Schizosaccharomyces pombe: one gene and its partner. The gene in region 2 interacts genetically with the main gene of each other region. Each region holds a gene or a part of one and is shown on either strand. Other genes may lie near its edges.

Region 1 (5,345 bases), 1.1 Mb from region 2:
GGAGTTTTGTTACTCGTAAGCATTGTGGGGTTAAAAGGTTTTTACTACACACTTTTTTAGTAAAATACAGCTGTAGCAGGCTTTATTATATAGTCCATTATCTGTTAAATATATCTGATCGATCAAAAGAATTTAATGTTCTAGTAAGAATGGATTTGCTGGCGATTGATTTGGATTTTGATGTTAGTGAGTCAAAGCTTGAACGGAATAAGCGATTAAAACAGAAAGTAAGCATTGAAACTGATGGATGGACTCCAAGAGTTCAATGTTTTGGTGTATGTTACTCATTTTTTACTCCCAATTTATTGTCTATGATTTTAACAGATTATTCAGCATCTTAGTAAAAATGGCGTCGTCCTCGGTGAAGAAGCCTATATTTTAGAGCAATCAAAATTTGCAGCGGAAGAACAATATTATCTGGGAAACTATTCCTTAGCTAAAAAGTTTGCATTTCAAGCACTTGATGTTCCAACTGATAGTTCCAGCATTGAGTACCACAGACTGAGTTCAGGCGAAATCAATGAAATTGAAGACATCATCAGAAGATGCGAAATGAAACTTGAAAATAAGCAAAGCAATTAATTAGAAAAAATTTTTGTCTTGTCAAAGAGTACCTACCCAAAACTACACACTCTGTCTAATTTTTGTACATGATTTTCATGTGGAAACAGATTAATCACTACTTGTACCATCATCCTTTACAATTTGTCCTTGGTTTTGTTATTTGAATAAGAAATAAATTAATCAAATTCAATCGTGCATCATTTTTTGTATCATTAAATTTATAGTCTTTGTAGGCTTTTGAGTTATCGAGTTACCAATTATTCCTCATCAATCTTCATTAAAAAATTCTTTAGCGCTGTAAACCTTCCACGTTCCCATCCGCGTCAGTAAAGTAATCGATTTTATTAGTACTATAGGCTGACGCCGGAATTGCAGCTGGTGACATGATTAGAGGAGATGTAATAGATTGAGCAGCCGAACCCAGAGCCGCTGACAACGGTGTTGCAGGTACGCGGGCTATTGGGGACATCAAAGGAACAGGAGTGGCTAAAGATGACTCAGTGTAATGTCGAGCAGAGGAAGAAAGTAAGATAGTAAGATCTTTTGTAGATCTTGTTGCAGCTGAAAGACCAGCTAATACGCTTTTTTGGAATGTATATTCACTGGATAACGCTTTCGCTAAATTTGCGACTGCAATAATAGACTTGACAAATGCTTGAGTGTCGTCCAAAAAAAGCTGCCATTCCAATTCTTCCGGATTCGTTTGAAAAGTTAGAAGGCGATGCTTAAGTTTTCTAGTAACATCACAGGCGGCGGCGGATAATGATCCCAATTCACGTAACTTACTAATCAAATTGGGTGCGATGTTTTCATTTACTAGATCAGGCTGGTTATTTTTAGGAACAGCATCAATTAGTAATGTCAAAACTGACATTGCACTGTTTGTTGCTAAAGCGACCTGATCTTGTATTTGTTTATCAATTTCAGGATTCATCACTGATGCTGGTTTTTCAACGCTAACGATTCTGTTCGTAAGCCCAGATGCAGTCCGGATCATACTTGTCGGAGATTGACGTACCTGATCGGCGAATATGTTATTACCACTATGGGGTTGTGATGGACTCAATGGTACCAAGGCGTTTTGTAACTCCTTTGCAGCATCGAAAAGAATTAGCAGTAAAAGCCGAACATATCGGACATCCGCACGACTAGTGAGCTCATTTAAAAATTTTTTTGTCACTTCAATTAGTTTACGAAACGAGCTGATACAAGACAATGAAGCGTTTACTATGGAATTAATGTTTGCAGTTCCATCATTGCTTTGTTGGGTATCCTCAAAGCACAGAATTAGCCGCTTAATTTGAACATTGGCAGTATGTAACACATGACGCATAGAATCTAAAACAACGGGGTTGCTGCAAAAAAGAAGTTGCTGACGAAGGGCTTGTTGGACTTGCGAAAGCGAAAACAATATGCCCCTAGACGACTCTAAAGTTTTTTCAAAGGCCGAGTGCTTCATTTCAACCTCACTCCCTCCAATGTTACTGAAGTAGCTGTTGACCGAGTCATTTGTCAAATTGGAGCCATTTTCATGCGTTTCTTCTTTTTTCAAACGAGGGGAAGGATGAGGATCTTGAGCAAAAATTCGATTTGGTAATTGCTCAGAAAGTTTGCGCGCTTCTTTAAGGGCTTCAAGACGATGTAAAACACTCGATGGAAGTCTAGTAGAAGAGTAATCATCATTTGTACTATTGCTTCTATTACGCTCTTTCTTGGCAACCTCAGGTAAACTTATGGCTGATGTTTTAGCACTCGCACTCAACTGCGTTGGAGCTGTTTTTAGAATCGATTGTGTGGAAGCAGCATCATTATTTGAGGGATTTTGATGTTGATCAGTGAATTCTGAAATTTGGTCTTGAATGGGGCTAGCGCCGTTAGTATTGTGAGTACGTTCTTGAACGTCTGCACTAGCGACGGAGGAATTGGTGAGTGAGCTTTGGGGTGAATGGTACAATGGTCCTGTAGCAGAAGAAGGTGGTTTTGAAACAGAAGGAGAATTGAGGCCAGTAGCTAAAGAAACTGACCTACGAGGACGGGCTTGTCTAGGCGACGCATCTAGATGAAATTTGTTTAATTGATTAAGTGATGGAGGATGAGTGCATCCATGAGCAACATTTGAATCATACAATGTTCCTTCTGAGTTCTCATTTGTCTTTGACAAAGTCGATTTGGGTGTGGACTGTTGATGCCCGGCAGGAGAATGTGAATGGGGACTTGGCGTGACAAACGTCAGCATGCCAGGTGAAACCGCATGGCTAGTATCTGATGGGGCACTAAATAAGTAAGAATCAACCACAGAGGAGTCATTTTCTTCCGAGTGACTAAGATTAGCTGAAGCGGATAAAGCAGCGGAAACAGTACTTTCACTTCGCGTTCTAAAGACTGATTCGTTTCGCGACAAATATCCCTTTATATTGGCAATAAACAACTGCATATCAGAATCTTGCAAGTCATTATTAGCGATATGCGGAGGAGGAAACACAATGTGATTGTTTTCAATTTTAAGAATTTCAAGATTCGGCATATGTGCAATGTAGGTGGGAAGCTCAAAAAGACGATTTTTAGAAATTGAAAGAACTTTAAGGTTCATTAAAGCTCCAAAGGATTCTGGCAGTTGCTTGATTTTATTGCGAGAAATGTCTAAAATTTCAAGTGACTCAAGTCGACACAAAGATTCGGGAAACTCTCTAAGGACATTCGATCTAATATTTAGGTACCGGAGACGAGTAAACTTTAGGATTTCAGGACCAATACTCTTTATAAAGTTATGGCCTAGCGCTAGTCTCGCTATCCGACCCTGGATTCTTTCCAATTGTTCATAAGGTAATTCCCGCAAGTTTAGATGAGATAGATCTAACGTAAGTGCATTTTCAGGACCCGCATCTTCTGCCTCTTTAATAATTCTTTCAATTTCTGAGTTTTTTGTGGAGGACACCTCATGAGCAGACATAGCATGAAAAGATCGATCACCTCAGACGTAAATCCGAAGGTTTTGTTGAAAAAAAAAGGAACTCTAAGAAGTAATAATTACTAAAAAAATGCAATGAACATAAAATTGATCCACAATGGTATGCTATAATGTACAAAAGTCAATTCCCCAAAATTTACTGCCAAGCTAGTTCGCGGAACGAATAAACTCACTTCTTTCTGTGTACGCATCTGTAGGTTGTACTTTTTTATTTTAACAACGTGAATAAGCACTTTTCCTTAAAATAATTACAGTTTATTAACGTTTACACAAAATATTTTCGTTAAGTTTGATATTGCGTTTTATTTTTTTTAGCTATGCAGTTCGTAATTATCATTAATGATATGTTAGACTACTTGATTTTCGTATGTGCACTACATAGCGGTACATATGGTTGTATGATAACGGGGGTTACGGATATCCTTGTATGAAGGCGGTAATGTAATTTATCTCTAAACAAACCACCACAGCTGAACTAAAGAACGTTGTTCCTTTGATTTTACATCTATCATTTCTAGCTAATAAATTAAAAAATTTATTAGTGGATCTACATCGTATTGTTATCATTTGTAAGACGATAGGTAATCAGAACATGTGACATATAGTAATTCGTAATTGTAATGTAGTATTGTTAGCATTCATTTCTAATTCTTGAATGATCAAAAGCACTCGCTATATTATGTTGGTTCGAACTTTTTGAGTTCATCGAGATCAGAAGTCGTTATTAACAGGAGCAACAAATGCTAACGCTACAGTATGTTTTGTGGTAAATAATTCTTTAAGTGTAAATTGATAACTTTTTGAATGAGTTGCAATTTTGTTGATTCAATATTTCTGTCATTTATCTATAGTTTGTTTATCAATTTGATTATCTTGGTGCGTTTGATTTCCTAATCATTAATATTTATTGTTTATTTTATTAGTCCTTAATATATTGCTTCCTAATAGAATCGCCTAGGTTTATCATTATGATTTAAGAACCTGATAAAAATAAATGAGTTGATAAATTGTACATATAATCAAACACGGTTTTTTTTTCTATGACTAAATGGGTTACTATCTAAAATAATTTTTTTTGGTTTCTCATTGAGAAATTGAAGCCTCATTATTTTTGAATTTCAAAAATATTGGTTTGTGTTGATTAAATCATTTAATCTGAGTCATTAAATATCCAAACCTGACAAGTAGTAATAGGACCATTAATGGTAGCCAACTAAGTATGGGTATAACGTTTAATTTTTTTTTTTTTTAAACTACATACTTTAAATAAAATCTAAAATAAGGAATAAATTTCAGAAACAATTACTCAATTAGTTAAATTTTAGTAATGTCGAATTCTAATAGTAAGTCAATAACACAACAGTATCCCTTTTAAACGAATACTTATTTGCTCGTATCGTAGAATGTATAATTTACAATCGCAGTTTTAGCTGTGCCTATTATTTTCACGTGTTAAAATTTATTCGATTTTTGTCCTCAGATGGAAGGTGTTACTCTAAGTACTCTACTAAATCCCCAGCGCTTGTTGCACGACTAGGTAACGAAACTCAACACCTTAAGTAGGCTTGCCGTATTGTATCGTGAACCATACCTTACTCATTCCTTATCACGAACAGTGATTTTATACTTGTATATTTCTATTAAATTTAAAATAGAAGGGGATTATACAAGAAGCTATCGAATGTTAAACGTAAAAACAGGCGGCTGTTTTGGTTGTTCATACTGTATATAGGAAAGTTGAGGTTAAGTCAAAAGAAAGAAGATATATAGAAGATGCGCATTTGGTTTAAAAAAGTTCCAGATGGGATTACTT
Region 2 (4,752 bases):
TCACTTTAACTATTCGTTACTTTCTACTTCAAAAAAATAGGCTTAGGACTAGTTTTTATTTATTAAAACATATGGAGTTATTGGCTCTTCCTGCTTCTTATGAATTGAAAACAACTCTTTTAGAGTGGTTCTTACGAAAACGAAAATTTGAAACAGCTCAAAAGATTTTCCTATCGCTCTGCTTTTCCCAACATTTTCCCTCCGAAAAGTTATTGATGGTTTTACTTCTTCATGGGACTGAAACTATGCAGGAATATGCGATGATACAGGCAATAAATTTTGTGAATACAGAACAAAAGTTACGGTTTTACGATAGACTACACTCGATTTGTAGCAAGTTAAAGTTTTCCTCGACGGGTTGATGCTTTGGTAATAAAAATGGTTCATTTGGATGGTTATTTAAATACAATATTAAGATTTCTACTGTTTGGGTATTTAGTAAGGTAAATTAAATCATTGTAATTTTCGTTCAAATTGTAACTCATATAAATTAAATTATCCCTCATCTTGTTCTTTAGTTATTATCACGACAATAAATTTACGACTCTATTCCTTAACCGTGGGCACTATTTTAATTTAAATGTTCTGTATTTGGCATCATTATCTCAACAATTTAGATTTTCATAAAAGATGAACGAATATATTAGCAAAAAAAGAGAAGTTAAAACATTAAATAAATTAAAGATTATATTATGAAAGGACTAAAAGCATCATAAACAGTTATTCATTATATGCTTTTCTGTTTAAAAGATTACATTCCAAGCTCTTTAGACAAGCGTCCATTTCTCCCAAAACGATGTCTATTTCTAAGCTCAATACAGACTTTATATTGTGCATATTACCTGGATAATCATTAAATAATTCCATATTTAGACCTCGAACCCCCAGAGAATCGTAATTATCATTTGCTAATGGTTGAACGGCCGGTGAGCCAATGGATAAAGGGGGTAAATGAGCTCTTAATTTCGAATTAAATGGCTTAGGAGTGGACGAACAGGAGGAAATTTTAGGAGTAGAACTAGCGGATTCAAGACTAGGTTTATGCAAAATAGAGGGAGAAATCGATTTCGGAGGAGGTATACTAATTGACCTATTAACCTCTAATGGCTGTAGCACTGCCGAATGTTTATGCGCTGGCGCTTCTAATGGTGTAGATAGTTGTTCAAATGCGCCCATCGATATACTTCTAGATTGGAGGTCGAATGAGGATGGCATACGAAGACCCGGCTTCATTGGTGACATGGATATTCCTCGTTTTCCAAGAGAAGTTTTTTGACGTTGCACAACTCGAGGCAGGGGTCGTTTGATACTTTGATCCGATGAGGTTTTGGAATTTGAGCGTGTGCGACCTACAAACAAATCGTAATCTTCAGCTTGCTTAGTGTGTTTCGATTGAATGGTTGATTTTTTGGAGGATAGATTTGAGGAATCTAAGCTAGGTAATTCGATTTGAGAATAAGATACTTCACCTTTGGAATCCTCAGTAGAAGCTCCTTCAGCGTTACTGGGAGAATCATCATCCGAAATCTTTGAATCCTTAAAAAGTTGTAATAACGGATGGGAATCATTAGATGAAGGGGGTTCATGCACTGTGGAAGATTTTGGAATTACAGTTCCAGTTACAGTAGTGGAGGAAGTAGCAGCGGTAGTAGTGGAGGTGGAAGTGCCAGTGATGGATGAAACGTTACTTTGACCTTGTTTAATAGTGCCAAATTCCCAACCATCATCAGAAGCAGCGGTGTCGGAGGTTTCCTGATCAGGGTCGCTTCCATCATCGGCTTCTTCACCCAAGAGTAGCGTTTGGGGTATGCCGCCAGCAGCCTGCCAAGTGTCATAGCGTTTTACAACATTGGTAAGTTCAGAAATAGACATGCGAGAATATTGTTTGATAAATTTTGATTTCAAAAGTTCGGAAGAATCTAATCTCCTCTGAGGGACATCCTGCAAACAAGAGGCAATGAATTCTTTTAAAAGAGCACTAAAATTTCCATTGAGTCTAGGGGGTGCGGTGTGAGCGATTAGGTAAACGGCACGAAAAGGATCCTCTTTGGCATGAGGTGGAGATCCAGTAGCAATTTCATATGCAGTGATTCCGAGCGACCAAATGTCAGCCTAAACTTTGTTAATAATTTTGTGGAATAGGTAAAGGGCTATAAGTAATCAGCAACGAAACATACCATAACATTATATTCCTGACCATCTCGAATAACTTCTGGTGCCATCCAATAAGGCGTTCCAATAAACGTGATTCGCTTTCGGCGATTGATGTTTAGTTCGGCAGCAACGCCAAAGTCACATAGCTTGACATTTCCAGACATGGAAACTAGGATGTTGGCAGCTTTTATATCACGATGGATGATACCTGCATGATGAATAAATTTTAATGCCTGTAAGGTCTCTCTAAGGATCAAAGATATGCATGGTTCACTAATGGGACCAGCCTCCATCAAAGTACGCACGCTACCTCCATGACAATAATCCATTATAATCCATAAATTAGTACCTACCAAATAAGAGCCATGATACTTTATAATGTTTTCGACATCGGACTGTTTCAATTCACTAAGAACAGCGACTTCTTTCTGAATATCAGAGACTTCATCCTCATCGGTATCCAAATTAAGAATCTTGATGGCAACAGTCTCTTTCGTTAAATTGCAAATTCTTTAGAATGTTAGAAAATGTAGAAAAGAATCACTCGAATAATATTCATACCCTCTATAGACTGCGCCGTACGAACCGCGTCCCACCAATTCTAATTTTGTGTACGGCGAAGAAGCAGTGTTATTTTCCATTTCTAATAACTTTAGCTGCTTAGCAGATACATGAAGAATTTTAATTGAACAGGTTCAATTCAAACTCCTTCAATTCCCTTTCACTTTTTCTATACTGCTGGTGGTAGCGGGTACGAAGGAATTGAGTAGATATATATTGAAAAACTGTTTACTATAATACTCAATTTGTGCAATCCCTAAATAACAAACAACTTATTATACTATTTTTTTTCAATACCGAAGCTTTGCGAGGAAAAATACAGCAAATTTAGCAGGAGAAATGAGAATATCTTATCGAGTTTAGCGTAACGTAAAACTAACGATATCTTATCTGTATTTTTCTACTACGCTATGTCGTTAATCAGTATATAATCTGTAGTTATTTATATTTCCGTTCCGCAGCGGATATATATCCGTTCTTTGAGAGTAATTATCTTTAAGACTAAAATCCTTTAAAATAAATCGACCGAATTTTTGTTCCTCAGTTCAAATTGTAAACAATTTATACAGTTATAGTAGTACCCAATGTCTTGTTTATATCCAAGGATATTTAAAGCCCATATTCGTAAACCAACTTTACATAATGCATACAATCATATAAGATCCTTCTCACAATCTACATTTTACGGATTGCAAAATTTCCACTATCTAAGCTTAAGAGCTGAAAGCTTCTCACCTTACAAATATGCTGATTTTCGTAGTAAATAATAAAATGAGATGACATTACTTATTTACTCGGTCGATTTTTGAGAATTTGCGTAAAATACTAATTTGTATCTTAAGATAAAGATACTAAGTTGATTATGTAAATCCGAGTATGCATGGTTGTCTGGTGTGTTACGTTTAGTATGCTATCCATTAGCTTGTACACTGTTCTCCAAACCATTTCATTTTTTTTATGAAATTACCAATTGGTTTGTAATAAGTTGCTTTTTAGTTAATTTAACGAGCATTACTGTTGCTGCTCATCTTGCATGGCTATCGTTTCGAACCGATCATATAAAATATTCGACGAAACAATCGCATAATAGGAGCTAGTCAAAGAAATTTTAAATTTTTGTACAATTTCTTGAGGGCAGCTTAGTTTTGTTTGATGGGATGACAAATCCCGGTATTTACAGACTTTCAATTCAATGAATTGATTTGATGCGTCCAATACCCACATCGCTATTTTAAAAGTGTAGTAAATAAAAATAATGTAATGTATATTATTAATTTATTATTACATTGCCGAGTAAAAAGGGAGTAAAACGAGAAATCAATTGAAGGATTTGTATTTTCTTTATTCTTTCGTTTACTAATTTTTGTAGCGATGACCTATTTTAAAGGTTAGATAAAGTAAGTCAACACGCTGAGCTTAATTGAGATTATCGGTGCGAGCGATCGATTGTAACAATCAATCGCAACAATCAAATGATAATGTATTAAGCAAAAAAAGGAAACTTGAAAGAAATATAGAAATGAGCGACCCTTAGCTCTTCGACCTGGGTGAACAAGAGTCGTTGTACATAATAAAAATATAACAAAAAAGAAAACCCCAGACAAATCACAGTTTCAAGCATATTATACAATCATAGAAATTTGCATTACTAAAAGAATTTCTCTTAAAAGATTAATTATCTAAACATTCCTGTATATCGAAAATCGTAGTTGTATGTACAGAGAGACATGGTACTTTTATTTATCAATAAAAACAGTATACCAACAACCAAGGGGAGGGCATTCTTCATTGTCAAAACTCGTCAGTTTGACTTGTAAGAATTCGCAATTCAAATATTTCCTAGGAACATGACTTTCAACTCGTCCTTTAATGAGCCCACTTTGCACTGCTAATCTGGGATGGGTGGTATCAGCACACTTCCTACTGACACTAACGCTAATGTGCCATGATCGTAAAATTGCAAAATCTTCGCTATCGCAAGCAGAATGTTTGTTTTCTCCGAAGTGTTAAGGAATGTATCGAATCGTATGGTAAAAT

Evidence for each region.
Region 1: of nak1 (region 2) and sog2, changing one enhances a phenotype caused by changing the other (phenotypic enhancement), as found in Schizosaccharomyces pombe (one study listed by BioGRID).

The regions. Positions count from the first base shown.
Region 1 is NC_003423.3:3,551,969-3,557,313, forward strand, and holds sog2 (leucine-rich repeat protein Sog2), read right to left. Parts: upstream 3,689-5,345; 5' UTR 3,515-3,688; coding exon 854-3,514; 3' UTR 712-853; downstream 1-711. Other genes in the region: SPOM_SPBC887.08 (uncharacterized protein), read left to right, coding at 150-275, 334-582; response regulator Mcs4, read left to right, coding at 5,306-5,345.
Region 2 is NC_003423.3:2,481,526-2,486,277, forward strand, and holds nak1 (PAK-like kinase Nak1), read right to left. Parts: upstream 2,901-4,752; 5' UTR 2,796-2,900; coding exon 2,716-2,795; exon of another isoform or gene 2,665-2,715; coding exon 2,178-2,664; intron 2,113-2,177; coding exon 721-2,112; 3' UTR 542-720; downstream 1-541. Other genes in the region: SPOM_SPBC12C2.01C (uncharacterized protein), read left to right, coding at 1-362.